Nothobranchius furzeri: one gene and its partners. The main gene of each other region encodes a partner of the protein of the gene in region 2 in a complex. Links are inferred from orthologs where the notes say so. Each region holds a gene or a part of one and is shown on either strand. Other genes may lie near its edges.

Region 1 (3,708 bases), on a different chromosome or scaffold from region 2:
AAGGAGCCAACTGCACCGGCAGCAGCAGCTCGGGCACCAAGAGGAGGCACGAGAAGCACCCTGGCAGCCACAGCCGACTGCCTCTCCCAGGGAAGTGGTTGATTTGAGATTAAGATTAAGATAACAAATTAAAAACCAAATTAAGCATTAACACCAGATAAATAAAAGTCTAATTAAAACACACTGATAAAAAATAACCAAGTAGAAAGCAACAATTAAGTATATAAACATAATGAAATGCAAATAATGAATACAGGTTAAAACAAGTTAAAAATAATATGAAAATATAAGTAATTTAAGTAAAAGAGAAAGTAATAAAACACTGATAAAATATATAAAAGATGGTTAAACAGGCTAAAATAGATTAAACTCAGCTAAAAGCTATAATAAAAAGGTCTAAACTTAGCACAAAACTCCTGTGTGAGATAAGAAGTAAACCATTTATGGACAGCACCAGACAGGCCGATGTGTTTTAATATTGTGTTTTATATAAAGAATATTGTGGTCCACTGTATCAAAGGCAGCATTTAAATCCAGTAGAACCAGAACAGTTACTTTCTGTGCATCATAATTTATTCTTAGACCATTTAAAACTCTTAAAAGGGCCGTCTCGGTGCTGTGCTTTACTCTAAAACCAGACTGAAATTTCTCAAGACATGATGTGCATTAACAAAATCACCAGGCTGAATTAAAACAAGCTTTTCAAAAAATGTTCCTTACAAATGGTAAGTCAGATATCGGTCTGAAGTTTCTCTTCTTCAACAGGGGTCTGACCAGCGCCCCTTTAAAGGCGGCAGGAAAACCCCGCGTCTGAGAGCAGTTCATCATGGTTGAAATCTCATCTCTAAAATATCCATAAAAGGGCTTAAAAATGAAGTGACTATGGAAAAGTATGCATTCTTAATTATTGTCTCCCTGTATTATTATGAATTAATTGGTTTTGTTTCTTTATTCTAATTTTTGCTTATCATTTATTTTTCTTGCACCACGAACCGCAGCAATTTCCTAATGCTATTCTCACACATGTGGCAATAAAACCCTTCTGATTCTTATTCTCTCGCACCTCTTTGAATGATATTGACACTATTTGTAAATGAGTTACACAAACACCCATTTATTTCAGTTTTTATCGACAAGTAATATATACTTTAAATTGTTAATTAAAATGGCTGAGTAGTGCTTTCTGCTTCTCTTTCATATTTTTAAAAATACCTGCCATAGATCTCACACACATTTTGTATGATACTTTAATTATTTTGACTCTCATTGTTTGATTTTTAGTGACTGATCCTTATTTTGAAACTAAATGATAAATGATGAATGACCCACACTTGATGCAGGTGACTTTGACAGCCATGAGCAGCTCCTTTAGTGGGAGACTGCGGCACCCAAGGTGTGGGACAGAGAGATTCCGTAGGTCTTTCCTCCCTACTGCTGTCAGACTCTACAACAAAGCTGTTGGATGAAGTGTACTCTGTATTTCTAGCTGTATCTAGTATGGTTATTATTTATTATTTTTTAACCCATTCTTAAGGTATAAACTGTCTATTGTATTGAGTTTATTTTATCTCATTGCGGTCGGTCTTATTGTATTTTAATGTTTTTCTCCCTCTGCAGCATAACTTTTACTTTTACTTTGCTTGGCTGTAAACGAAACAAATTTCCCACTTGTGGGACTAATAAAGGTCATCTTATCTTATCTTATCTTATCTTATAGCACCTCTCAGAGTAAGGACTCCAAAGCGCTTTACACTACAGATTCATCCATTCACACACTCAATCGCACACTGATGGTGATGAGCTACAATGTAGCCACAGCTGCTCTGGGGCGCACTGACGGAGGCAAGGCTGCCACCGGTCCCTCTGACCACCACCAGAGGGCAAGGTGTGTCTTGCCCAAGGACACAACAGCAGAATTATCTGTCCGGAGCCGGTATCGAACCTGCAACCTTCCGATTACTGGAACACCCGCTCAGCCTAAGTTCCACACCTAAGTTCTGAACAAGAGTCACATATGTACCCAAGCAAACCCACTATGCTAAAACATGTGTCCTGTATCAGAGCTGCATGTGCGAAGTTTGCAAAGAAAATAAAAATGTTTCAAAATCAGCTTACTATCGAAGGAGTTATGGTTGATTAAACATGCTGACACTTCAATGCCTCTGTCAGAAAGGAGGGGGGGACCGATCCAAGATGACGGCGTCACCGCTCGTCATGTAATACAGGTTATTATTGGGCGTAGTAAAAACCATGGGCACTTCCCTACCCAGCATTGGGTAAGAAGCAGCTGAGGGAGCGCATTTGACTGTTGTACCTGCATTCTTGAACTCGAACAGACGAGGATCTGCTTTAATGGGAATCAGGCCTAATCTGTGAGCAAGGACTTCATCCTGGACAATTGATGTATTGTTATAGATGAACACCTTCTCAACAGCCATTGTGGGCACCTGCAGGCAAAATAAAAGCAAAGCATAAAAAAGATTAACAAAAAACATACAATGAGACATTTTTGCCTATAAAGGTCTAACTGCCTAATCGCATCAGGGAGAAAATGTTGAGTCCAGCTATAAAAATGTTGGATTCTTTCTCCTGAGAATGAGTCCAGCCTTAATTCACTGCTACTATGAATCCCATAATGTGAACATTAGAAAGAGACATAAATAATGGACCTGACCCAGCAGAAACTCCGTCATCACCAGAGATTTGAATGGGTCTGCACACTGGCTAAGAAAATTGTTATCAGTGTTTCCCCTAGAAAATTTTCCAGCCGTGGTTCACGGGGGGTGGGGTGTAACGTTTTTGGTGCTGTGCATTGGCTGTTGGGGGGGGGGGGGGGGGGATGGATGGGTGCGCATACATATATATATTAGGGCTGGGCAATAAATTGATATTTTTAAAATATCTATATAATTTTTAAACAAGATACAAGATGACTTTATATCTTTATATCAATATAACTGGTAAAACTGCTATGCTAGCGATTAGCCGCTATGCTAGCGACATGTTGCTCCGTCTCTAAGCTTCTGAACCACCTGTAAACGGTTCAGGGAAGTTCTGCTCAGACACGTGAAAAGAGAGTTGCAGTAAACTAAGCGTGAGGAGATGAAGTTGTGGAGAAGCCTCAAGTTCAGAACGGGACAGAATGGAACTCAGCTTAGCGATGTTCCTGAGATTGAAGAAGTTAGAGCGAACAAGAGAACTGACATGAGAATCCAGGCTGAGAGCTGGGTCAAAGGTCACACAAAGATCCCTGACAGAAGGTTTGGTGTGAGATGCAAGCTGACCAAGAGAGCCCCTGACTTTGAGAACCAGCTTGTCTGGGGCACAGATGAGGATCTCAGTCTTATCTTCATTCAGCTGTAGAAAGCTCCCAGCCATCCAGGTTTTGATAGAGTCTAAGCAGGTGTGTAACAGCTGCAGCTGAGACATCTCATGGGGCTTAAAGGAGATGTACAGTTGGATGTCACCTGCATAAAGATGGTAGGAGATTCCTTTGAAGAAGCTCAGGATGTGCTGAAGAGGAAGCAGATAGAGGAGGAAGAGCAGAGGCCCCAGCACAGAACCTTGTGGGACACCATATATATATATATCCAGTTCTTATTCCACCACAAGGTGTGCACCAGCACCAGAGTGTGGACACGAAAAAGATGATGAGTATTAAACTACTCTAGGGGGGTCCGGGGGCATGCCACCCCCCCCCCCCCCCTC
Region 2 (4,287 bases):
CAAAAACTAAAAACTTTATGACATAACTGTTGATCTGTGTAGATCTAGAAGGGCCTACAGCATTTGGACATCTGAGGGGCACGTGGCTACTCGGCTGTTTTATATTGTTAGCTAATCCTTTACAAATCTACTTTACTTCTATGAAAGGCCATTTTTTGTTTGTGTGCGATTTAAAAACAATGAACCTGCAAATCTTTGATGTAAAATGGTCAAAAAGTTGGGTGCTCTTCAGAAACACCGTTAGCTGTACCAACGCAACCAGTGTGTGGGTTTCCCAGCCCCCCGGGGGCTGCTGACCCCAAGGAGAGCCCCTGTGTGTGGGGGGGGGGGGGGGGGGGGGGTCCTTGAACACAAGTAGCTGAGCTGACTTTCCTCTGCAGCCTTAAAGCCGGGCGTACACTGTGCGACTTTTTCACTCGCAGCGTTCAGCTTCAGCTCAAACTGTACGACTTCCTCACAGAGCAGATCTCACAGTCGTGTGCTCACACTGCACGACCCAGTTCTCGCATGCGACCTGACTGCTCACACTGTACGTCTGGTAGCAACACGTCGGCCCTAAAAATGTGCTAAAAATAGCAGTTTTTACTCAACACGTCAGACTTTTTTGTCTTGTTTTGCCTGTTGTCCTTCGGTAGTGCTGCAGGAGGACACACAGGGATTTATGGGGGTTGGATGAGGAAAACGAAATAAAGAAAGTAAATCTGTGTTTTGTGATCAGTTTAATTTGACATGAACACGACAAACACGCTTTCTTGACAATCTTTGTGAGTAAAAAAACGTGTAGAAACAAAAATGAGCAGCGTGTTATTAGGGAAATAGCGAGCGACCGGCCGGCGTTGATGCAGGATTGCGCGCGCATGCGCCGTGAGCGGTTCTGATACTTTTTGGGTCGCAGCTGCTCGCAGCGCCGCTTCAACAGTGCGATACCCTCACGAGGGACGAGCGAAATATTAAACACGCCAGAAGTCCCTGCGACCTCACGACTGCTGATCGGCGGCTGGTCACGTGGTGTTACTCGCCTCTCGTAACCCCCTGTACACTACACGACCGCTCGGCGCAAAACTCGCCCCGATCTTGTGGATTCTCGCACGACTGGAAAATCGGCTCAAAAAAGTGAAAAAGTCGCACAGTGTGCGCTGAGCGTCGTGTAGTGTACAGGGGTTACGAGAGGCGAGTAACACCACGTGACCAGCTACCGATCAGCAATCGTGAGGTCGCACAAACTTCTGGCGTGTTTAATATTTCGCTCGTTCCTCGTGAGGGTATCGCACTGTTGAAGCGGCGCTGCGAGCGGCTGCGACCCAAAAAGTATCAGAACCGCTCACGGCGCAATCCTGCATCAACACTGCTCGTCCGCTATTTCCCTAATAACACACGCTGCTCATTTTTGTTTCTACACGTTTTTTACTCACAAAGATTGTCAAGAAAGCGTGTTTGTCGTGTTCATGTCAAATTAAACTGATCACAAAACACAGATTTACTTTCTTTATTTTGTTTTCCTCATCCAACCCCCATAAATCCCTGTGTGTCCTCCTGCAGCACTCCCGAAGGACAACAGGCAAAACAAAACAAAAAAGTCTGACGTGTTGAGTAAAAACTGCTATTTTTAGCACATTTTTAGGTCCGACATGTTGCTACCAGACGTACAGTGTGAGCAGTCAGGTCGCATGCGAGAACTGGGTCGTGCAGTGTGAGCACCTGACTCGTGAGATCTGCCCTGCGAGGAAGTCGTACAGTGTGAGCTGAAGCTGAGTGCTACGAGTGAAAAAGTCACACAGTGTACGCCCGGCTTAGGAGGAAGGACTAGATCCACCTCCTCCTCCTCATGAATAGGAGCCAGCTGACATTGCAAACAGCTAACAATTGTTCCCTATAATTACAGAAATCACTGAACTAAGTTCTGTTTTCAATCAGATAATCTAAGGGAAATGAACCATCTAATCTGATCAAATGAAGGTTTGAGCTCTCCTCATCAGTGAAGCTGTCCTCTCACCAGAATCGTGTAAACCAGCTGCTCATGGTCCTTTGTCAACTGAGTCACACAGCTCCGAAACTCCTGCAGCCAGCTGATGAGCTGAGCATCCTGTCCAGAGAGACATGACCATTATTCGCACCTTCACACCGACCCAAGATCAGCCTCAGAGGTTTTACCTTGATTTCAGGATCCACCAGCTGATGCTTCAGCAGCTCGTAGTCATTTGTGTCCCCCTTCAAAAACAGACAAGCGCCTCATCAGGACACAGGGCTCTTAGAGGAAGGTGAAAGGAGCTGCTCCTGCTGCTAACAATCGTATCAAACTAAAGTAAAATGATTCTGCCACAGCACAACCACCCAGGATATTTCACCTTCCACCTGTATTTGAAACATTCATGTTTTTGGTTTAAAGTTAAAACTCATTCCTCGTCTTTTAACCCTCGAGGCACCTTGGGTCCCAATTAAACATGTTGCTTTTTTATCTTTAACATCTATCAGTTTAAACTTGGCCGAGATCATGTTAAGCCAGAGAAGTCTAGCTGTTGTCTTTACCATGCCCTGGACTGGACCAGCTACAGCACTCACGTGTCTGGCTTTCTCCAGAGTCTCCGCTACGCACCCCCCAAACCGGACCGTCTTGGCCGGAGGAGAGTTGAGGAAGTCCCTACCGTCTGCATCCATGGTTCCGGCCACGCGCTGGTTTCCACGAGCTAACGTGGCTATCATCAAACTAAACGTATACGTTAACGTATTCTCTCATTTCACCGGAATAAAGACGGGGAACAATATCAATACAAGACCCCAAAACACTAGTGAAAAGCAAAGGCAAGCTGCTGTGAGCGCAGGCGGAAGAAATCACGTGTTTCCGGAACAGAGTGATGAGGTGTCACATTAAAACTCTTCCCGCGGTGCGCGAGACCCACTTTTTTTTTTTTTTTTTACAGTAAACAGAAAAGCATTATTTTACGATAAATAACTGTGTTTCACCCTGAATGTAATATTAGCTAAATATAGTTTCTGTAAGAATTTACCACCTGTGTGCTACAAGATTGCTAATTCAAAATATATAATGTGTTCATCAGGGAAAACAAATGTTAAATTTAAGCACCTGAGAATTATTTTTTTCACAGTTCATCAATTTCTTTGAAGTGTTGAGCATAATTAACTAAAACTGTGGATTTTTTCACATAGCAAACTGTGATCATCACATCTACTGTGCCTCTGAAACTTTATATCTTTATTGTACTTTGTTTTGTTTCTCTACCAGACTAGTGTGTCATTTAGAAAAACATATTACCTCAAGCACATTTTAAGGGGAAAAAAAAGTATTCTACTTTTTGCTAAAATAAATAGGTGAAAAGAAAAATAAACACTTCAGATCAATGTTGTTCTGCATCCTGGAGAAAAACCAGTGGTCTCTCTCAACTAAGTTCAAAGGTCACAACCTGATACCCATGTTGGGTGGGACTGGCTACACTCTTTTACAGGGCTTGACTGGGTTGATTTAACCCTCTAGAGGTCGGCGTTGCAGATGTGCAACGTTAAAACCTACCTACCTGGTTACCCCACACATGTATTTCATGAGCATGTTTTAACTCAGAACCCCTGAAGGACTTAGTTGTTCGTCCTTTTATCAAAACTTATTTTTGAGCCTGAGAGGGTAAATGCATCCGATTTTATTTTGCTGCTTTACGTCGTGATGAAATGAACGGATGAAATCCACAGGCTGCATCCCTTCAGACAAACTTTGGTGTACCTGTTTGGACTGAGAACGTCGGAAATAAAAAGAAACAGTAATCGAGTTAATCAGAAACTCCTTCAGTGACCACCGAGTCTCAGAGTCAATCTGTCTGCCAGCTGAAGCTTGAACTGAACCAGATCATCAAACAGATCCATGACCCAAACACAACAGCAGAACTACCAAGGAATCCAGGGGCGGAAGTGCTCTAGTCAGAGTCCAGGGGCCATGCCCCCCCCCCCCCCCCCCCCCTTAACTCATTCATTGCCGGCCGTTTTCTGAATAGAAAAGCCCCGGACTGCCAGTGTTTTTGAGCATTTTACAGTTTTTTGCTGCGTCACAGAACATTGTGTTCTTGGATCACGTAAATGCCAAAACTACCAAAACAAATAATAGACTCACTTCTTACATCAGGAAGAATCAGCAAGTTTCTGGCTTTATCTGCTCTTTCATAATCCGTTGGTCAAATTGTGAGCTGCAGAAGCCTTTCCAGTTAACGCCTCGCTTTTTTACAGCAGCAGCCCTAAACGATCTCCTAACACATGGGTTTTCTGCTTCCTGATCACGTGACGTGT
Region 3 (4,386 bases), on a different chromosome or scaffold from region 2:
AAAGCAGGAGACTATTTTCTGCATGTTAAACGTAATGTAACAGATCATTTCCAAAAATAAGACAAACTTGTTTCTCATTGGAGGACCTCTTTAAGAACTTAATCTAAATATTACATCTGAAAAGGTTTACGACCTAAAAATCATGATCTGAGCATCTCACCTCTTTAGAGACCTCTTGCCATTTCTGTTTACACATCTCTGCAGTGTAGGAGTTGAAGGCCACCTTCTGCCAGTCCAGATGGGACTCGGATGTTTTGTATTTAGTCAGATCTTTCTGTGGCAGAGCCACTTTCATGGCCTCCAGCAGCTTTAGGAGGTCATCCTGCGACCACACTGATAAAAAAATACATGTAAACTGGTTCATGGATTTATTAGTATGGTTGCATTATGTTTATAGTATGATGACAAAATGTGGAATTCATTAAAACAATTTCGTGATTATACAAGTATTTGTCATTTGTTAAAAAAATATATATAAATAAAAATGACTCATAAATATACTACCTTGGTCATGTGTCGCTGCCTCCATTTCTCCATTCATTTGTGAAAATGCGATTTTTGAACTACAAAAGAAACAATAAATTAATCAAAATCACTAAAATTCATATTTTCTAACTTTATTATAACTGATCTCTGTTGTAAGTCGTTTGAGTTGAAATGTGTGCCGACATAATGGTTTATGTTCATTACACCGCCCCTAAACGTTTACGCTGCATGGTGAGGCATAGGCTATTGCTTGTGACGGCTTCAAATCTCAAATAACACTGCGGAGGGCTTCAACTAAGCATATCTAGCGACGACAACAGGAGTCCCTGTCGAGCTTCTTTTTTATTTTTTTTTATTTTTTATTTTTGGGCCAACCGGAATTTGGCGAATTAGTGCTGTCCTTATTCTACAACAGAAGTATCGTGGACGCTCAGGAGCGACCATTTTCTCGCTCGGTCTGCTCGGTAATGGAGGACTTTCTGTCGGAGCGGAGGTTGGGGAGGATCCACGGAAGGAGGAAGCGAATGAACGTGGACAGACAGGCAGCTGTAGGCGACCAGCTGACCACGGACGGGGGATCTGCTTTCGGTCTCCGACAGCCTGGAATGGCAGCTTGGAAGCACTGCAGCCAAATGCGCCACTCGGCGGAGACGCCTCATCACCGTTGGACGTGGATCTAGCTCCGCCACGCAGCCCTAAAGTCTTCTCCACTAATGTTTACCCAAAACAAGAACGACTAAACTAGCATTCTACGCGTGAGGGGGTTTATGTGTGCGTTTTAGAATAATTCACTCAACATTTTGTTCGCTTTGTGGTATCACGCAGTTGTTTTTTGGACCAAAAAGCCAGAGCATTCTTCAGCGAGGCGTAGCCGAGCTGTGCTCCAATGATGGCGGATGACCGTTGTTCATCTTGTCCTTGATAGCTCAACCGTGTCTCCTCGCGTCGTTTCTAACACTACTTTCGACATATTTCTTATGTAAAATGCGCAGAATGTCAAATTCAAACGTCGGATTTATGACGTTTAGTCAAAAATACTACATAAATGTGGAAAAAAAAACATAAGACGCCGTGTAACTTAGCATGTCGAAAAGAAGCCTAAAATCATACCAGCATCTAAGGTAGCACAGTTAGTCAACAGTATTTGCTACTAATCAAAATTTGTGTCACACAAGGACGATTTAGGGATCACATTAACTTGTGTTTACAACGTATAATTAACATGAATTATTTGACAACCATACAAAATGCTCCAAAATATTCTAAATTAAGTTACACCAGATCGAAAATTAATAAATGTTAGGTTAAATTATTTGCGGAGGCGCGAAACATAATTAAAATAAAAAATATATGTACGGTGAAACAACATTATTGACCTAATTTTGAATTACTTCATGTTAGTGTTAGTTATTCTCCGTTTCGAGGAAAATGTGGGCTTTAATCGGCTCTTTCATTATCGGATATCTAAAGAACAATCCGCGGCTGAGCAGCTTCTCTGGCGCGACAAAACGGCTCCAGGTCCGCCATGCTACCAGCCCCGCTCTTGTAAGCAAACCTACCGTGACAAGGTCCAATGGCGTACTGCGAACACTGAAAACGGAGCCGAAAGCTCTAGCCGGGGCGTTGCAGACTCCCTTCCCTAGCTCCAAAAAGCGCATAAGCGAGGACGGAAAGGCGGGTTCTCCGAGCTCGGTTGTCGGTGGTTCTGGGCTAGTCAGTGAGAGAGAGAGGGGGAGAGGGGAGGGCGAGTCTCCTCACGGTGAGATATTAAACCGAGATCCCTGATGGCTGACCGAGAGGCGGCTAGCTGTTCCGCCAACAGCCGCGTGGAGGTCTCGGCGCGGAAACTACCGGAAAACATTTCCCCACGCGAAACAAACGATTGCTTAGCTAAATCCCGATGCTACGTGAAACTAATTCGCTTCATGAATTCACTGGGTGTAATTTATAGTAGACATCATACCACTGGGTCTTACATCCAGCTTCTTCCCCGCTGTTTGGGCAGAGAAATTCGGGTAAGGCCGACCTCGTCTGCGCCCTTCCAGCGGGGAGTTTGTTTCGTTACCACAAAGATCCTGCCGCCTAAGGAGCTTTGGTAGACAACATTAAAAACAGAATGTCTATTTTTCGACTTTTAACCGCTTTTCTGGTTTGTTTATCGCGCTCTTTCCACGTGTGGTTATGAAACCGACCGACTTTCGTGCTGCTTACCTGTCTCGGCGCGAGCCTCCGCGTCGCTGTGGATGAAGAAGGGGAGGGTTGAACGATAGCCAGCACTGCGCCGTCGGTCCTGGGCTCCAGTCCCCGCAGAGATGGTCCTTCCCCCCGCCTCCATCTCTCTCGCTGTCTCCCTCCAGTCAACGTGCAGCAGCTCTCTTCTCTCCATCCAACCATTTCCGCTACACCGACACATCCCCATGTTCCCCAGTGTTAACGCCGCTGATTTTCTGAGCTCAGCCAGCAGAGTTTATTGTTTCTCATCGAGCCCGACTTTCACGTCTCCCACTGAAGTTTGCATCTCTAACATTTCGTCTGCCTACACTTGAAAGAAAAATCGCTTTACTGGTTACCTAATTTAAACGCCACCAGTGAACTTTTTTTCATTGAACGCACACATCTTTAAAGTTTATAATTGACACCAATCAGTGTCTGATTATTCTCCTAACTCTTATTTCCGGTGTCCGTGCCGTTCCCCCGGCACCAAACCTCTTTGACTCAAACGTAACTGGCTGTTTGACAGCTTCATTTTAGCCCAGCATGTTATTTTTTCAACTCCACCTTGTGTGTTTGTGGGCGGAACCCCCGGCCGTCCAATCCAGTCCGTCCGATTGAAGGAAAACAAAGACTTTCAGGCACTCAGTCTTGTTAAACTGTGCTATGTTCACTTACAGTAGGAATAAAGTATTATTGGATTAGTGTCAGGAATTTAGCTAACTGGACAAAAACAGTCGTCTTTTGTTTTAGTTTAGTGATTTTAATATCAACCTTCCCAGGCACTACAGGTGGAAATTAGCATCCCCACTATAACCTGGTACATTGCATCTTTCTTTTGTGGTTAATGTCAAGTTGTGCACTGTCACTGTTTAAATAAACTTCTACAATTACAATTAAAATTATATAATATAGTTTGAAGAATTCAATTGTGTTATCTTTTTTGTTTACCTTAAATTTCAATTATCCTGTTCGTATTTATCTTTCACAGTAATTTATATCATGTTTCCTGTATGTGGTTACAAAGTATTAAATCGAATTTAACGTGTAATTGTTAATTACTTTTTTGTTTTGCCTTTGATGAAGATTGAAATCATGAATATGGCTGAATAAAACTAGACAATACTAGACTTAAAAATAAAACCAACTATTTAACCTATTAGCAGGATAAAAAGGCAGCTAAAATAGTAATTTTCCCATGTAGAATATTATGCTTGCGTATCATGTTTTTAGAACGTTTATGTTTTAAATAGTATTTTAAACATAATATAAGAATAACGAACACATTTCTCTCTGAGGAACAATCCTACTATAATTTATCTCATTAAGACTCTTGGCAAACAAGTCGCCATCCACTAGTTTTGAATAAAAACTTTATAGTACTGGGATTTACGTGATCACCTTGAAAGCAGCCTAGAACTTTGGCTTAAAGCATGAAAAATATGTAAACATAGCATTTATGGAAAAAAAAATCGTTTTAAAGTTGTTTTTTTTTTAGTTAAGGGAAATCCAAAGCATGTACAGTGGTTCAAACACACAAAGTTTGAGGCAAAACAAAAGGAAAATGTTCCCTGATGCAACAGTCTCCTCAGACAATTATTTTATTCTAGGCCTCTTATTTTTGCTTGTTGCATGATTATCACCATGAAAGCATTTACACACTAAAATCTGATATATATGAACAAAACA
Region 4 (4,294 bases), on a different chromosome or scaffold from region 2:
GGCCGGCGCCGGAGCATCCACATCCGCTTGAGAATAAAAGGACCTTAAAGTTCGGATCGACTCCCAGCCGGAGCAGAGCGTCAGCCTGGTTCTTCAGGATGAACTGGAACCCCTCACAGACCAGCCAGGTGTAGCCGCGCTCTGAGGAACATCAACCTGTCAGAAACTAAACTGAAGTTCCCCTGCAGCTAGAAAACATCTGGGGACGGCTTTAGAGACCAGAAAGGTCTGTGTTTGTAAAATAAAGTTGTGTGTGTGTGGTGTATGTGTGTGTGTGGTGTATGTGTGTGTGTGGTTATTCCAGCTGAAACCACCTCAGAGGACACACCCACCTTCTTTACTGGTTCTGGGTCCTTTGGCGATAGATTTTAATCTGTTGGAGCTTCCAGCGACGCTCAGGTCCACCACCTCTATGGTCCTCTGAGCACAGGAACATGTATAAAAACCATCAGGGGAGGCCTCAGATAAAACAGCGCCTCCTGCTGACAGCCACAGGCACTACAGCTGCCAAAAACCCGTTTTAACCACGTTCCATGGCAATGACGCTGACAGGCTCAATTGTACGTAAAAGCGTTGGACTTGGGAGGCAGAGGAAACAGGAAATCAGTCAGAAAGTCTAGAGCATTTATCATTCAAGCTGATGAGGACCTTAAGATCAGTAGAGCCTGCTGTCCAGTAATCAGAGGGAGTGCAAAATGACAACCTCACCTCTCAGACAACCCCAGGGCAGCATGGCTACGTTTGAGTTTTCCATCACCAGCAGAGAGCCCAAAAGCTCTTTATAAATCTAATCTATTATTATTATCAGCAGTAAACAGCTGCAGCAAGGTACCAACTGTCTCTTTAAAATGTGAACTCAGGAGTTTCCTTCACTGTGCTTATTATTATTATAATTATTATTATTATCTAGCAGTCTAACACTAAATGCTCCAGCCTCTCAGAAGTGCAAGCTAGCATGGCTAAAGCTAACGGAAAGCTTAAACCCACATTAATAACGTCCATGCAGACACATGTTCAGAAACCACAATATGAGAATTTAGAAGCTTCTAACTTTCAGAGTTTTAAGACATCTGAGGAAGTGTTACCATGGTAACATACTCATTGATTCTCATGTAAGTTCTCTTGTTCGCTCTTCCTTCTTCCATCTCAGGAACATTGCTAAGCTGAGTCCCATTCTGTCCTGCTCTGAACTTGAGACAGTTATCCACACCTTCATCTCCTCACGTTTAGACTACTGTAACTCTTTTTTCACGTGTCTGAGCAGAACCTCCCTGAACCGTCTGCAGGTGGTTCAGAATGCCTGTGCGCCGCTTCTGACCAAGTCCTCCAAACACACCTACATCACTTGTAAGTTGTTGTTGTTGTTTACCTCTATGACGTTGTGGCAGGACATGCAGTAGAAACGACCTTCTTCTGAGATGCCCCAGTTCACCGCTGCACACTGAGCGCAGGGCTCCCTGTAGCCAGCCTGGACAGGAACACAGGTACGGGTGAAGAGAGCAACTCAAACTCACCTGAGCTTTTGACAAAAACCTAAAAATTATTACTAATATTATTAATATTCTCACAACTCACACAAGTAGATTCACAACAAACTTTGAATAAAAAAGCAAATAAAAAGTAATAAATTAAATCTAAAATCTGATGCATAATAAGAAAAATGTTTGTAAGAAACTTGAAAAATGAGAACCTTCAGTGAGTTAGACAAAAATTAGCTTTTGAAGAAAAATTAGATAAATTAAATGAAACAGAAAGAAAGAGTAAAATGTTAAATCTTACTTTCTTGACCACAGCAGGATGTTGGTGCATCAAAACGGGTTTAAATACTCAATAAATAATAAACACAAATAAAAGCTTAACTATTAGCAGCTTCTGCTCCACCTGGTTCAGAAAGCCTGTGCTCGGCTTCTGACCAAGTCCTCCAAACACACCCACATCACCCCGCTTCTCCTCCAGCTTCACTGGCTGCCAGTCAATTTCAGGGTTCATTTCAAGATCCTGGTTCTGGTCTATAGGGCCTTACATGGACAAGCACCATCTTACATTGGTGATCTTCTTAGTCCCTACACCCCCAGCAGGTCCCTGAGGTTCAGTGACCAAAGCCTACTGGTTGTGCAGCACCAGGCTAAAGGTGACAGATTATTTGCTGCTGTGGCCCCCAGACTTTGGACCTCTCTCCCCCGAGCCTGAGGTCAGTGGACTACGTGGTCTCCTTTAAACTCACCTGTGCAGGCTTTAGTGGGACCTTCATCACCTCCCTCTCCGTGTTCTGCTCTTATTCCGCCTTTCATGTGATCCACTGGTTTCCCACTTTTTCTCATTTTAAACATATTTTAAATCCTTTTTATACTTTTTTTAAGCTCCACGTGATTTTTATCTTGACAGGCGCTACATAAAAGATCGTTTTCTTTCTTTTTTCTTCACAGCTCTAATTAGGTGGAATGCTAGCCAAAACTACTAACCTCTACATGAACGATTGAATAACTACGTTGATCGTGTTGGTAACGTTACTAAATCTATGCCGATTACTAAACCGACCGCTGTAGATTCCGACCAAGTTGTTAAATGATTTCTTTCGGACTTCGTATTTAATAATAATGAAAGAAGGCGTGTTGTTAATAGGGTTGTGTGTGCCTCAACCAGCTAGCTAACATCAACATTCCCCCTTAATTAAATGTACGCGACATATTTACAAATAAAAAATGCTTAAATGTGTTTACCGTAGCGTCTTCATCCATCGTGATTTAAAACTAAAGTCTGGTCATTATGTGTTTAATTTATTCATTAGGTTTTCCTTTTAGCTCTCAAGCTAAAATGAGAGAAGCGTATTTGTAGCTGGAACCGCTTCATCTTCATCGGTTGATTTTAGCGACTGCAAGGTTTCTATACTGCCACCAACAGGTTGCAATGTGAACTACAACCGCCAACTATGGTTATAACTCGCTTTTGCTGTCTGTGTAATTCAACATTCATCAATTACGTGTCAAGTACATCCGGAAGAAAATGTTTTACAACGTTCCAATTAAAACTATTGAAAGCTCATTTAGATTTTTCACAAAGTTATTCAAAAGGTATTTTATGTAGAGTTCTGCTGTATTTTATTGTATTTTTGTCATATCTGATGTTCGGTTCGGCCGTCATGTTTGCTGGTGGTGTTTTACAGACTTTGGCCTCTCGTTTAAAAGCGGATTTGGATTTGGATGAGATCAGAGATTATAAAAAGACTCGCCAGATGTTTCCGTCTTTCTCTTATGTTACGTCACGAATCGAGTCGCTTTTCAGAAGAAACTTTATTTTTGTGTCTTTCTGTTGTGGTTCTGGAAGTTAGGAGCTTATGTTTCTTGTACAATCGCTAAAATTCACGACCCAACTGCTGGGTTCATCTTTCACGAGCTCAGAGAGCACACACGCGTTCTACTCACGAGCCCGTCGAGCGCGCGACAACACGCACAACAAGCTGAGGCGCACTTTCAAAATAAAAGCAAACACTAAAACAAAACAAAGAATTTAAGAAATTATTCATTTGCTGTGTACCAAGAAAATATCAAATAAACTGTTACAAGATAGTTGCTTACATATTATGTATTTATGTTTAATGTAGCTATTATTTTGAGTTAAATATATATTTTATATAATTTCACATGTTTCACCAAAGCTCAGGCTTCTAATTGTGAAAAACAAGTAGGTAACTCAAATTGGCAATAATAAACTATTTTCACAGTTAGACTTTCTTTTAAATTAATGTATTTGGTCCAATGGCTTTCATTTGGACTAATTTGATTTTATCCTGGTGCACGTGTCAGTTATTTCATTCAGATTCAAATCCAAATTATGTTTATGTATTTAGCAGACGCTTTTGTCCAAAGCGACTTACAAGTGATAATTGGCATGTTGCCCTTGATGCTAACAACAACAATAACAACAACAAACAATTTCCAGTCAGTTGTAGGTAGCAGCGAGGCAGCATGATGAATCATGGAGAGGAGGGAACAATAATAATAATAATAATAATAATAATAATAATAATAATAAAAAACTTTATTAATCCCTCGGGTGAATTCCTTCGGGAAATTCAGTTTCCAAAAAAAGCAGCGCAACACCGACAGAGGTTACAGAACGTCAGAAAATATTATATAATAATAAAAATAGAAATAAATATAAAAATACAATTGAATTGCACCTTCCGGATATCAACGTCCTTAGCACCGTTGACCATTAAACCAATTTAACTGTTTAACAAAGGTACTTGCATTGAGGTATTGCACAGTGAAGTGAAGAGTCACTACAGCTTCGG
Region 5 (3,694 bases), on a different chromosome or scaffold from region 2:
ATGACGGCCACGATGGCGTTGGTGCCACTAGGGTAGTTGTCCAAGCTGTAATGGTCGTACATGTAGGGCCTGACCAGCGCGCTCTGTGGGGTCTGGAGCCGGTACAGCTTATTATCGGATCGGTCCGTGAACGAGTGTAGAGGAAAACCCATAGTCTGCTTACCTGGTGGGAAAAATAACTCAACAACCACACTGCTTCACAAGTTACGTACCAGAGAGCAGGGAGCCGGGACTCACCCATCTGACACTGGTACATGTTTCTGGGACTCTGGTTGTGGTCAGAGTAGGGGATGAAGTTGGCCACCACACTGAGCATGCTGTGGGGGAACAGCTCCTGGTGTGTGGTGACACCCGCTTCAACCTCGCCCTCCAAAATCCCCACATTGATGTAAAGCTGCAAAAGACCAAACTTTCAGTTTTTCCTGTTTTCATTCTCCCAACGCAGCCAAAAATCTGAAAATCCCACCGCCCAAAAAACCTGTTCAAAGGTCCCGATCAGCTCCTGCATGCCGAGAGCTAAATTCTGTACGGGACGCATCATCCGACACGGCGTTGTGAACAGGAACAGGCCAGGATATAAGCTGGCTTTGCCCGTTTTAGGAACAAGGACGATCTCCATCCAGGGAGGAATTTTCTTTTCCCTCAGCACCTAGAAATCAAATTAAGACATCTGATGATTCAGCGTTCAAGTAGCGGGCCAAACACTGGATCCAGCGTTTGTTTGTACCTCCATCCCATCATTAAACTTAACCTTGCATAACATCTGCAAACACAAAGCTAACGACTGCTGTTACAGCTAACAGGCTAAATGCTGGGTTTCCCCCAGCGCTTTATAAGCCTGGCGGCCCGCCAGGCTAAGCGTCATGCCCCACCCCCCTCCCCCTACCGTGTCCACTGACACGAACGGCGCAGCGAAACTAGAGCCCTCCATCAGCTGTTACTGGTGAGAAACAGCAGCGGAACGTGTGCAACCCCCCCACCCCCGCTCTCACAGAGGAGCGCTGCGATGCGGCGCGACCCCCGGCGGCCGAATCCGCCAGGCTAAACTCGTTTTCTGGGGGAAACCCTGCAGGTAGTGGCACGTACCAGACACGTCCCAAAATCATAACGGCGCTGCGCTCCCAGAGCACTTCAAGCTCAGCCAATCAGAGCGGGCCAGAACAGGAAATAAAAGCATCTGGAAACCATCAAACTATAACGCTCACAGATGTCCGCTTTCCTAAGCTTAAATACACACCAGCAATAACATAACCTCCTTGGCGGAGGAGACCTTTTGGATACATGCTGCCATCTTGTCTTGTTACTGTGTGAACAGGTGAAATCACGTGTGATCTTGCTATTTTCATGGGACTTTGTGATGTCGCTGTGTGGAATGCATACGCAGCGCCCCCCGGTAGATAACTCCATGCCACTGAGGTAGAGAAAAGGCACCAGTGACATTACACGCTGCTCACGCAGTGGAAAGCTGTGGTTGAACCTCGTCTGGATGCTTTAAACTCAAATGTCCCGTTTCAGGCCAGAACTTGAGACTATCGTCTACACGAGTCAAAACTGTTTCCTACCTTAAACCTGCGCAGTGACTCGACAACAGCTGGAGCCAAATCGCTCTCCACCCAGCCCACAAGAGCTCCGTCCAGGACCACGGGGTAACAGTCGGAGTAGGCGTGCCCAGGAGTTCCATCCACAGGAGTCACACCTGACAGCAGGAACAGCAGAAACGTTTTAACTCCATGGAAGGTCATCGCAGGCCTTCTGTCTGACCCGATGCTCACCGAGGGAACAAAACAGAGCCGGCAGCGACGTGGTGAACATGGAGGGTGCAACTATTTCACAGCTGGCGGTCATGTGGTTCATGAGCCCACACGGCTCTCCATCCGGAGTGTGGACGGGACACAGGAATCCCCAGGACTCTGGGAGCAGCTTCCGAACAGAGGTGGTCCTCATCTTGGCGAACGCCGCTCCTCGGTGCACGCAGCGGAAATGGGACAGGTAACGGATGAAGTTGAGTTTGTCGGCTACAACACAGAGGCCCGTGTTCTGCAGCATTCCAAGACCTATGGAAACACAAGATGTCCTTTATGCAGCTTTACTGTTTGTTTGTTTAACACCACAGCATGAACTCGTACTGAGATCCGGCGTTCCTACCAGTCTTGGAGTGAAGGTTTCCAGTGGCCAGCAAATACTCAAAAGGCTTCGTCAGGTCTGAGCCCATGTTCAACATCTTCATCACAGACTCAGTCGTCCAGGCTCCAGACAGCTTGGATCCTCTTTTGTCGAAGGACAGTTTGACAGAGACCAACCAGGCAGTCAGCCGCTCCTGTTCACACGGTTCAGAGTCCCAACGAAAACGATCAGCGGCGCGTTATCGTTAGGATTCTACAACAGTTCACTGATAATCCTGATTTACTGATGACGTTCGTTTGATAGAGTTCAACAAAACTGTCAGAAATCCTTCTTATGTTCATCTAGAACTGAACAACATCTCAAGTTTTTATAAAATCTGATATAAAAGGACAGGATGGCCCAGTATCGATACACACGTACAAACGTGGACTTTGCTTCCGTCTAAGCGGTCACACATCGTCGTACGTGTGGTGAGATGGGCTGAAACCCCCGTGTAACCAGGCACGGGAGCCTGCGGCGACCAAAATACCTCAGAAGCTCCCATAAATCTTTCCCTACTTGCTGATATGAGTGAATCCTGTGAGACTCCGGCCATGTTTGCCTTCACAGCTGGAACACACCTGTGCTGCATGACCCACGTTAGCGTTATCCGCTGCAAAGATGCTTTCATGTCATGAAAATAACTTCTTATGTTTTGACCCAAACCTAGATCCCACACAAGGAATCCTTCATTACTTGTAGTCCGACTGAATGAATGGAACCATCACAGCACATCTGACCTCCTAAAACACAAAACTGGCTACAACTCAGTCAATTCTATAGATACTGAGATCAAGTCTTCCTGCCACACGCGCCCCATCATTCCCACGGTGCAAAACCCAAGAAGGCCCCAAAAAAGAGCACCTGCCTTCAGGAACATGAGGTACAGCTGACCAGCCGTGAGCACTTCTTGAGTCACGATGCTGTCGGGGTTTTCTTCCATGCACTCCTGCTTGGCGTACGAGAAAAGCTTCCGGGTCATTAGACAAAGCAGGTAGAACTTCTCTGTGTCCGATTTCAGGTGGATGCAAATGCATTCGCTGCACAAGACGACAAACACACACTGATGTGTCGCTGCGGAAAGCTTCAGTTTAAATCAGTGTAACCGCTAGGGCTTACTTTAGGAGGACGTTGGCACACTGCTCGTTGGTGTACCACTCAGGTAGGTTCAGCTTGACCCTGAAGCGCTCTCCCAGGTAACTGAGCACACTGCTGCGGGTGGTGCAGCCCTCCTCCATCACCATACGCAGCATCTCTGACACGCAGGTCTTGTAGAAAGAATTGTCCTCGCGGCCTTTGATCAGCTCCTGGTGGATCTGGAAGTCTGTGAAATCCACCAGGGCCTGAAGAGCACCAGAGAAAACACGGTGAACTAACACAGAACGACACCAGGTCACGCTTCAAAGCTCGTAAACTGATACCTTCAGAGCAAAACCTAAAGGGAGGAAGAAGAGCTCCTTCTGGTAGATGAAGTTCAGCATCACTGTCCCATTTTCCAGGTAATGGAGGTTCATGTTGATGGCTGTGTGCT
Region 6 (4,458 bases), on a different chromosome or scaffold from region 2:
TTTCTGTTCAGAACCAAAGCTGATTCATCGCCTTTGTTCCAGTATTAAACCGCACTGCAAGGATAAGTCCTTGGAACAGTGTAAAGCTCATGGTGGTGCAGTAACAAGTCAGTGGTTTTAATGTGGATATATTTTTTATGGCACTGCTGCCCACCTTTTAAAAAGTATTCATGTGAATAGTTTTTGTAGGTGTTTTTGTTATGACAGCAACAAGCAAATTAAACTGTTCTAAAAAGCTAAAACGATAAATTTTGAAAAAAAAAATAATAATTGTAATCCCTGATTGAAATATGTATTTTTTAAGTGTGTGTGTTTCTAAAATTCAAGATAATTGTGTTGGATTTCCCTCTTTCCTATTCAATCTCTCTCTTTATTTACATTTTTAATCACAATTGTCTATCTTTTGCTCATTTTAAATATATTTTTAATCATTTTCTAAATTCTTTTTTATATTTTTACATTTTTTGTTTTTGTGAAGCGCCTCGTGATTTTTATCTTGAGAGGCGCTATAGAAGAGATCTTTTCTTCTTCTTCTTCTTGGATGCGTATTGTTTTTAATGAAAAAACAATAAAGGAGAAAGGCAACAATCAGTCAGACTAAGCTCTCCCAGAGTTACCACAAGGACTGTCCTTCATCTGCCCATCTCAAATGCAGTTGACTCCACCTGCTGAGAAACTGAGGTCCTTCAGAGTATGCAGAACTCTGTGAAGGACTTTTTATGATTTGTCGGTTGCATCTGCCCTTTTCTATGCAGTGGCCTGTTGGGGAAGCGGATGTACAGACAGGGACCAGAACAGAATTGGCAAACTGGTGCAGAGGACTAGCTCTGTACTGGGATGCCCCCTGGAATCGGTGGTGGGCGAGAGGAGGATGCTAGCTAAGCTAACATCCATCATGAACAACACACATCAACCTGAGCAGCTCATTCAGTCAGAAACTGATATACCCCCGCTGCAGGAAGGAGCACTCCCGTAGACCACCGATTCCACCAGTAGATGGGATTTATAACACATTATGACGTCATTAGTCAGCCAGCCACTTAAACGCTACGGTCACTACTCCATGCAGGATGCACCTGATATATGTATTTGTTTGTGTGCTTACATGTTCATGCCTGTATTTACAGTAATCTACCACATAGACGGTAAATAGTAGCTGTAGCACAACAGCTGATACTTTTTATGTATTATTAATTCATGTGACACACGTGATCGCCAGTGGAATTAAGGTGAAAAACAAGCTAACTTTCCACAGTTTTCCTGTTTAGTGGCAAAACGACAGAGACCAAGTATCTAGCATAAAGTCTTGTTAGCTCACTTGGATCGCAGCTGTAAGGCGACCAAACATCACCTTCCAAATTATTTTCATTCTGGTAAATTACAGATGGTGTACGTTTTTATACATCGTTTCTTTCCCTCAACCGCAACATGCACACGAAACACACACGTACACAGAGGCTACACTCACCTACCGGTAAGCTAATGATACACAACATAACTTTTCTCGCTACACTTCTTCTGAGGGATGACAATTTTGATTGTTTTACTAGAAAAACCAACAAATTAAACGTTTACCTCTCATCTGGACGTTAAACAAGATAGCCGAAAAAGTCTGTTATGCAGAACTGCAGCTGCAACAATATGTCACCAGTGCTCCAGTCTTGGGTCTTTTATGTGGATCAAAACCATTTATAATGATGATTTTGTCCACATACCGGTCCCCGACGTCTTTATATAACATGTCCCTGTATATTCCACATCCTTGTTGGGATTTTATGTGATTTAACACTTTCTTTCACCCAAATCTGCTTCTACTCTGCGACAGTACCGTTTATTTCACAGTTTGCAGAATGCTATGCGTAATCACGTGTGATCACAAGCCCTACACAAAATCTGCTGATTTTAGAAGCATTAATGTCGGTATATCGGTATCGGTTTTCGGCCATAACGGTGATATTAATATTGTATATTTGTTTTAGCCCAAAAATTTCATATCGGTGCATCACTATCACGTTAAATACATTTACTGTGAAGTGATTTTTTTTTCTTTTTACTACACTTGTGGTACTTTGAGGAATCATCACCACCTCCACCCGGGTTCCCAAACAGCCTCTTGAATCAGGCCCTCACAAAGCTAGAAACGGCTCTGGGACACGTTACCTGAAACAGGAATGCAGAAGGAGCAGCGAGGACACAGGACAGTGTTGGAGGTTACTGGTACCGGAAGAACGTTCCCGCATTCAGGACAGAAGTTCGGGTCACCACTAAAATAAGACATCCCGTCGAACCGGGCTGCTGACTCTTGAGAAACACAGACACGTTGAAAACAACAATCAAAACCATGAACCACTGGTTTCCCGTTCGGTTCACATGGGTTCTGTTTCGTTCCCTCCTGACTGCCAGTGGCAGTAAACAGAGTGGATGTATCTCCTCGCGCTCTGCGCAGGTCGAGTACTAATGTAAACAAAGTCACGCACGTGACACGTAGCGCACCTGGTCGCGAGTCTATAAATTACGCGCCGATAGCTACGTTCGGGTCTCCCGGGATCTTCTCGCCCGAGAAGTTCCGAGTGACCCCTGTGACTGGCAGTCATCCAGGAACTCACAGAACCATAGTTACACCGTAACTTCCGTTATGAAGACTTAGCACTTTATAAATTAACACTTTAAAAGACCTCCTGGCTGTGTGATGAAATCTAACGAGTGAATGTTATTGTTATTATTAGCAGTAGTAGCAGCAGCACATTGAGCACGTGGAGCTACTTGGAAACCTTTTACATGTTTATATTAGTATTCGGCTATTCTTTACACATTTAGTTCAAAACAGCGCTACTGTCATCATTTATTAAGTCAGTATAAAACGTTACAAACCTCTTTCACCGGTCACTTGTTTGCAGTAGAGGTCCTAGGGTCCTATCCACAGCTATGTATATGGTCCTATCACGTTATTGTCGCAGGCTGATGACGCAGGACGTGCTAGTGTCGCACGCTTGTTTACGTGACATGAGTTAATGACCAAAATGTTATTTGGGAATAATTAAATTAATTCGCAAATACCATTAAATGGTGTCAAACAATAAAATAAGGTGGAAATATCATATAGCATCTCCAGAAGCATTTCAATACCAAAGTAAAGCATACGTGGAAATAATAAACAACACTAAACTCATAATTACTGTGCAGAGATTTGGGGCAACAATGACCAGGGGTGGTCCTAGCCTGTTCGGTGCCCTGGGCGAACACACTTTACTTTTAGATGCTGCTTCACTCAAGCCGCTTCAGCAGACCTGTCCTCCTCCCTCTGCAGCACGCAGCAGAACAAATGTTTCCAAAAGTTACACACACCAGCATAATGTTCAGGCACTGCGCTCCCAAAATAAGTTTTTTTTTCGTACCCATTTTGCCACCCCTCTCATGATGCCATCCTGGGCCATTACCCAGGTCGCCCATGTCAAAAACAGTACTGCTCATAACTGTTTATTTTTATCTATTTTACAAAAAAAAAAAAAAAAGAAGAAGAAAAAAAAGGCCACTAGAATAATCTACACATCGGTGGTTACAGATGTCACACAAACCAAATGTTCTTAAAATCACAAATTTTGAAATTTTCTGATTTAGTTTAGTTCACATTGGAGTGAAACTGGAACCGACCAGCTGAGACAGTGATGCTGTGTTTTCTTATCAGGCTGAAACCTATGATCATTCATTTGTTTGGTGCATGTATGTAGAAAATTTGAACGGATGTCTGACTTTTCCATAGGTGTTTTATTTTAATGAATTGTTTCCATATTATATTATTTGTGGACTCCTTTTAAATGTTAATGAAAATCAAAAATACAATTCATAATTTGAACACAGTAAAAGAATGACAAACAATAAGCCCTAATGCAAGTATTAATCTTTCTTTGATGATGTAGACATCACACATTCAGTAATTAAATGGTCCATCAATTCCTGCCATATAATGTGTCAGGGAGGAAACGGAACTTCACCAGCAGACGTGGATGGATCACAGAAGGTTGTTTCATCTTCCTTTGTTGTTTTCAAGACATCCCAGAAAAAGATTACAAAAAGTGGAGCATTAGAATAAAGCTTTGTGACTGAAGGTCGTGTTGCAAAATGTTATCATGAAGATTAAAATGTTTTAGCAACTTTATTAACAACATATCAATTCTACCATCATGTCTCACATGCCTCAGTGACAAATTTCTGGATTTAAATCATCCCAGTCCTGCCTGCAGAACACTTACTCGAAGTCATCAGTGCTTCCTGACTAACAGATCCACCCTTAGATTGTGTTACCAACCAACTCTTTGCTTTCACACAAGTATAGACAGGATGATGCTACCCCAAAGTTTTATGACATGACATCATGAGCGATGGCAGTTTTTGGCTCTTACCTTGAAGCAAACAAACCTCACCCTCATCTCCATGATCCAGCTCTGAGATTTGTGAGTC
Region 7 (4,068 bases), on a different chromosome or scaffold from region 2:
GTCACACGAGTGACTTCGTCAGTAAACACAACAAGCAGGAGAAAATTACAACATGGCTCCAAAAGGTTTGTGTTTTATGTTCTGTCCATTTTAGAATCGCCAATACGGACCTGAAAAACAAAGGAGACCGCTAGCTAGGTGATAACTTCTCACGGGGCCGCACAGTTAGTAACTTTTTTTAAAAGTAAAGCAACCGGAAGGCAGTACGTTCTTTATTCTGAAAATCTCGGGAGCTTCTCTCCATTTCCGCGTCCGATTTCCTGTCTTTCCTTCCCCAAAAATGTCGAACTTGACCCGTTTCAGAGGCGTCGCGTGTAGAAAATAGAACCGGCGCGTAAAGGCCGCGACATGCTGCTCCTGAGAAGCGGCCGACTCGCGCTGCTGACGGCTCCGGTGGAAAAGGTTCTGTTGACCACAGCGGTTCCTATCAGCAGCTATGACGCGCTGCTGACGGCTCCTGTGGAAAGAAGGGGTGACATTTAATTTTCTAAATGAAACAACCGCAGCAACACATTTCTGTTTTAAACCAGAGATTTGTACATAAATCCATCACAGCAGCTTCTAGAAATGACTTTATTAACAATAAAACATTCATTTACACCGTCTCTTCCGAAAAACAAAACAAGCCGTTTAGACTCCTCACGGATGCATAAAAAGTATTTAACTAAAGGTTCTCGTCTCTCCTCCTCAAGTAGATGTTAAAATGGTGAAAAGAAATTAAAACAACATATTCATAAACGGATCCCAGCAGGCAAACGTACAACTCTGTAAAAGTTAGTGAGTCTCTAAAAGTCCAGAGATGATGATGTGTGATGCTGGTTAGGATGTTTAATCAGTTATGATGAGCTCATCACAGCCCCAGTCCTCGTAACTCCCATCAGGAAGGTACCTGCGGATGATGATGGGGATCTTTCTGCCCCTTTTGGAGAAAGAGAAGAAAAGATGAGTGAAGTAAAAAGTTGTTCGTTAAATAAAACCAAAGCCAAAAGTTGGTGCTTGTCAAAGTGACTTACTTAAGTTCTTTCATAGCGATCTGCAGAGGGTCAGTCTCTCCCTCCAGCTCCACCATGACAGGAGCACACATCCTGTTGGAATCAAGCCAGCACAGGAAAAACACTTTTATTCAGGCAGACTGATGCAACATGGGAATATGGGGTTTATAGTGGGCTAATTTCTCTAAAGCTGGGAAAAAAGTGACTCATTAGTTGCAGCCATCCAGCCAGCATTGGAAATTAAATACAAATAATTCTGCATGTAGATTCAAACGCTACTTTTAGCTTTAAAATGGGCTTTGGCATGCTTTTATTTTGAAAGCAGATGAGGCATTTACACAAGCAGCCGCCTGTTTCCAGGAATTTCTGCTGGTGGGAATTCAGAGAGCCCAAACTCAAGACAAAAACAGAATCAGGAGTTGATTTTACTGATTTACCTAAATAACCTTCTGTTGATACTAGGTGTTAATGCGCTATTTAGCATATTTAAGTTTTTACTTAACCCTCCCACTGTCTTCATGGGTGACCCCGCCAGGAAAGTTGACCACTGAGCAGGATGGATGGTTTATCCCTTGATGTCTACATGGCAGGGGTGAGGTGGTGCTCACTTCTCACCCCTGCCACATGGACCCAAGGGATAAACCATCATCCCTGCTCAATGGTCAACTTTCCTCGCGGGGTCACACCCATCAGGACAATGGGAGGGTTAAATGTCTTTTGGAAAAACGAAACTTTTACTGACATAAATCCCGAAATGAGCCCAGCTAATTTCACTGAACATCTCTAAATACTAAGTTTAGGGAGGAAACCTACTCTCAGTGAAAATGTGTTTAACGAGTTAAAGATCAAACACACTCAGCTTTAACCGTGATCTCATGTAAACACACTCACGCTATCTGCAAGGCTCTGGTCCCTAGCACTCTGGCCCGCTCGTATTTCGTCATATACGGTGTGGTGATCCTCTTCTGGTTGGCCTGCTGGCCTTCTCCTGCAGGTAGGATCTGCACATTCTCCTGATCCTCCTATTCACCAGAGCAAAACAAACAAGCTCAGACCAGGAGACAGCTTCATAAAAGTCTCAAGTGGTGATCCGTCTCTGTAATAACTCACATCTTCGACGTTCTCCAGGTCGTCTAGTCCTTCGTCCTCCTCTGCATAATCAAAATCTCCATCATCGAAGCTACGGAGTTAAAACCTTTGATCAGATATCTTAAACTTTAGGTGATTCATAACTTTTAACAAGCTTTATTGAAAAAGTACAAAAGTACGTAAACTTGGATGGGAGACTGAATAAAACAGGACGTAAGCAGCAATACACAGAATAGGCAAGGATCATAATAAACAATACCGTGTGATGCTAATCGAGTTAGCATCCCCGTTAGCTTACGTCGATTATACAAAATGACGCAGATTATTTAAACGATTTCTTTACTTACTTGTCTTCGTTGTCCGACATGATAAATTTTTAGAGTAGTATATATCCGTGTAAAATATTTTAACGTTTCTAGGCTACACTTTTGTAACCAACACGAATCCACATGAACGTTGCACTGGCTGGTACGCTACTAAACATTCCGGTCGGCCAAAAGAACCTCGTTAGAGTTCCCTTTCCGGTCTGTCTTTTTTTTTTTTTTTTTTTTTTTTTGATGTTTCAGAAGCATCAACAAGGTTTACCGTTGCAACACTGCCACCTTCTGGAGTTAAGTCATTTTCCATTTAGTTTGATCTGTAAATTCTACCAACTGTAGGTTAAATAAAGGCTGAATAATCCCCATTCTCTCTCTCTCCTCACTTTCTTTAATGAATTGTTATAATCAAGTGCTAAAGATTTAAGGAATTTGACACGTAAAAAAATATTATTTATATGTGCAATTAATCAAATTAATGCCAAATTATTTCACGAATAAATCATTACATACATAAATTGTTAAATGGGCCATGGATGAAAATTTTTAATTATTTTGTTTTAAATCCTAAAATGCACACCGACTCCTCCAAATCCAAGGCCTGTTTATTGACTAGAGAAGACTGGGGCTGAATCCAGCGATGAATTAATGAGAATTCTTCCGGTCGCTTCCCAGGAGAAGTGTTCCAGGCATGTCTTGCCTGTAGGAGGCCCCCAGCTCGATCCAGGACATGTTGGAGGAATCATCATGTCTACTGGCCAGGGATTTCCATGGGGTTCTACCGGTGGACCTGACTGAGATCCTGGAGAGAGGACCATTTCGACTTCACTGCCAGCTCCGCCATGTAATAATTACTAAAATTGTACAGTTTAATGATTATCTGTAATTTTTACATCAAATAAATGTTTTTATTTATAGCACATTCATTAAAATCATATATACATAATTATTTCATATTTCAACCAACTAATGACACATTCAATTAATGATATAAATTTTTTATGTACTTTTGGCCCTCTATTTGGTTGTATGTCATGGCTAACGAACGTGGTCTTAAGCTTATTATCTGCACAAACAACATAAATCATCTCACGTAGAGCTAACGTGTCTGTCAGAACGTCACCCAAACATTCATGACGCGCCTATTTTAAAAGGTGACACACCACAAGGCTGCCACCTGATGGTCACTGTGGTACACTGCAATTTCCCTCATTTAACAGGGCCGGTTTCCACCAAAGTGAAATAAATAAATAAATAAATAAATAAATAAATAAATACATACATACAAAGGACCAGCTTTTTAGAATCAGAATCAGAAGGTTTTATTGCCATATGTGTGCCAAGTCACAACATTAGGAAATTGCTGCGGTATTTGGTGCAGAAGGTAAGATAGAAAGAAAAATTTAAGAGATACGCAAATATAGGAAGTAATAAAACACTCATGATAAAATTATTAATGTAAAAAGTGGCAAGAATTAGAGAAGCAGCGATCTACCCCGTGCAGGTACTAATCTGTTTTTCAAGCACAGCATCGGATCACGTGACTGGGACCAACCGACTTGAGTGGGCTGCCGTAGGATTTTCGTTGGAAAGTCCAACTGCAGAGGGGAAGAAACTGTTTTTGTGGCGAGAGGTTCTGGTCCGAATGGATCTGAGCCTTCTGCCAGATG

Evidence for each region.
Region 1: rrn3 (region 2) and polr1c share a complex: the UniProt entries of both Homo sapiens proteins name them as parts of the pol I pre-initiation complex. The link is inferred for Nothobranchius furzeri from reciprocal best matches to the Homo sapiens genes RRN3 and POLR1C.
Region 3: rrn3 (region 2) and ubtf share a complex: the UniProt entries of both Homo sapiens proteins name them as parts of the pol I pre-initiation complex. The link is inferred for Nothobranchius furzeri from reciprocal best matches to the Homo sapiens genes RRN3 and UBTF.
Region 4: rrn3 (region 2) and taf1b share a complex: the UniProt entries of both Homo sapiens proteins name them as parts of the pol I pre-initiation complex. The link is inferred for Nothobranchius furzeri from reciprocal best matches to the Homo sapiens genes RRN3 and TAF1B.
Region 5: rrn3 (region 2) and polr1b share a complex: the UniProt entries of both Homo sapiens proteins name them as parts of the pol I pre-initiation complex. The link is inferred for Nothobranchius furzeri from reciprocal best matches to the Homo sapiens genes RRN3 and POLR1B.
Region 6: rrn3 (region 2) and polr1h share a complex: the UniProt entries of both Homo sapiens proteins name them as parts of the pol I pre-initiation complex. The link is inferred for Nothobranchius furzeri from reciprocal best matches to the Homo sapiens genes RRN3 and POLR1H.
Region 7: rrn3 (region 2) and polr2f share a complex: the UniProt entries of both Homo sapiens proteins name them as parts of the pol I pre-initiation complex. The link is inferred for Nothobranchius furzeri from reciprocal best matches to the Homo sapiens genes RRN3 and POLR2F.

Annotation. Positions count from the first base shown.
Region 1 is NC_091752.1:59,335,051-59,338,758, reverse strand, and holds part of polr1c (DNA-directed RNA polymerases I and III subunit RPAC1), read right to left. Parts: intron 2,448-3,708; coding exon 2,315-2,447; intron 1-2,314. UniProt on the Homo sapiens protein: DNA-dependent RNA polymerase catalyzes the transcription of DNA into RNA using the four ribonucleoside triphosphates as substrates.
Region 2 is NC_091758.1:12,122,420-12,126,706, forward strand, and holds the start of rrn3 (RNA polymerase I-specific transcription initiation factor RRN3), read right to left. Parts: upstream 2,836-4,287; 5' UTR 2,701-2,835; coding exon 2,560-2,700; intron 2,209-2,559; coding exon 2,152-2,208; intron 2,084-2,151; coding exon 1,994-2,083; intron 1-1,993. UniProt on the Homo sapiens protein: Required for efficient transcription initiation by RNA polymerase I (Pol I). Required for the formation of the competent pre-initiation complex (PIC).
Region 3 is NC_091745.1:10,210,192-10,214,577, reverse strand, and holds the start of ubtf (nucleolar transcription factor 1), read right to left. Parts: upstream 2,836-4,386; 5' UTR 2,698-2,835; intron 2,203-2,697; exon of another isoform or gene 2,046-2,202; intron 564-2,045; 5' UTR 542-563; coding exon 505-541; intron 334-504; coding exon 161-333; intron 1-160. UniProt on the Homo sapiens protein: Recognizes the ribosomal RNA gene promoter and activates transcription mediated by RNA polymerase I (Pol I) through cooperative interactions with the transcription factor SL1/TIF-IB complex.
Region 4 is NC_091742.1:16,192,635-16,196,928, reverse strand, and holds the start of taf1b (TATA box-binding protein-associated factor RNA polymerase I subunit B), read right to left. Parts: upstream 2,871-4,294; 5' UTR 2,739-2,870; coding exon 2,721-2,738; intron 1,469-2,720; coding exon 1,370-1,468; intron 421-1,369; coding exon 333-420; intron 142-332; coding exon 44-141; intron 1-43. UniProt on the Homo sapiens protein: Component of RNA polymerase I core factor complex that acts as a GTF2B/TFIIB-like factor and plays a key role in multiple steps during transcription initiation such as pre-initiation complex (PIC) assembly and postpolymerase recruitment events in polymerase I (Pol I) transcription.
Region 5 is NC_091752.1:7,761,694-7,765,387, reverse strand, and holds part of polr1b (DNA-directed RNA polymerase I subunit RPA2), read right to left. Parts: coding exon 3,585-3,694; intron 3,507-3,584; coding exon 3,283-3,506; intron 3,204-3,282; coding exon 3,032-3,203; intron 2,318-3,031; coding exon 2,146-2,317; intron 2,055-2,145; coding exon 1,773-2,054; intron 1,697-1,772; coding exon 1,563-1,696; intron 650-1,562; coding exon 479-649; intron 395-478; coding exon 238-394; intron 164-237; coding exon 1-163. UniProt on the Homo sapiens protein: Catalytic core component of RNA polymerase I (Pol I), a DNA-dependent RNA polymerase which synthesizes ribosomal RNA precursors using the four ribonucleoside triphosphates as substrates.
Region 6 is NC_091751.1:25,535,470-25,539,927, reverse strand, and holds the start of polr1h (DNA-directed RNA polymerase I subunit RPA12), read right to left. Parts: upstream 2,976-4,458; 5' UTR 2,872-2,975; intron 2,302-2,871; 5' UTR 2,279-2,301; coding exon 2,161-2,278; intron 1-2,160. UniProt on the Homo sapiens protein: Core component of RNA polymerase I (Pol I), a DNA-dependent RNA polymerase which synthesizes ribosomal RNA precursors using the four ribonucleoside triphosphates as substrates. Can mediate Pol I proofreading of the nascent RNA transcript.
Region 7 is NC_091752.1:66,414,037-66,418,104, forward strand, and holds polr2f (DNA-directed RNA polymerases I, II, and III subunit RPABC2), read right to left. Parts: upstream 2,585-4,068; 5' UTR 2,449-2,584; coding exon 2,429-2,448; intron 2,173-2,428; coding exon 2,103-2,172; intron 2,015-2,102; coding exon 1,884-2,014; intron 1,086-1,883; coding exon 1,014-1,085; intron 920-1,013; coding exon 829-919; 3' UTR 560-828; downstream 1-559. UniProt on the Homo sapiens protein: DNA-dependent RNA polymerase catalyzes the transcription of DNA into RNA using the four ribonucleoside triphosphates as substrates.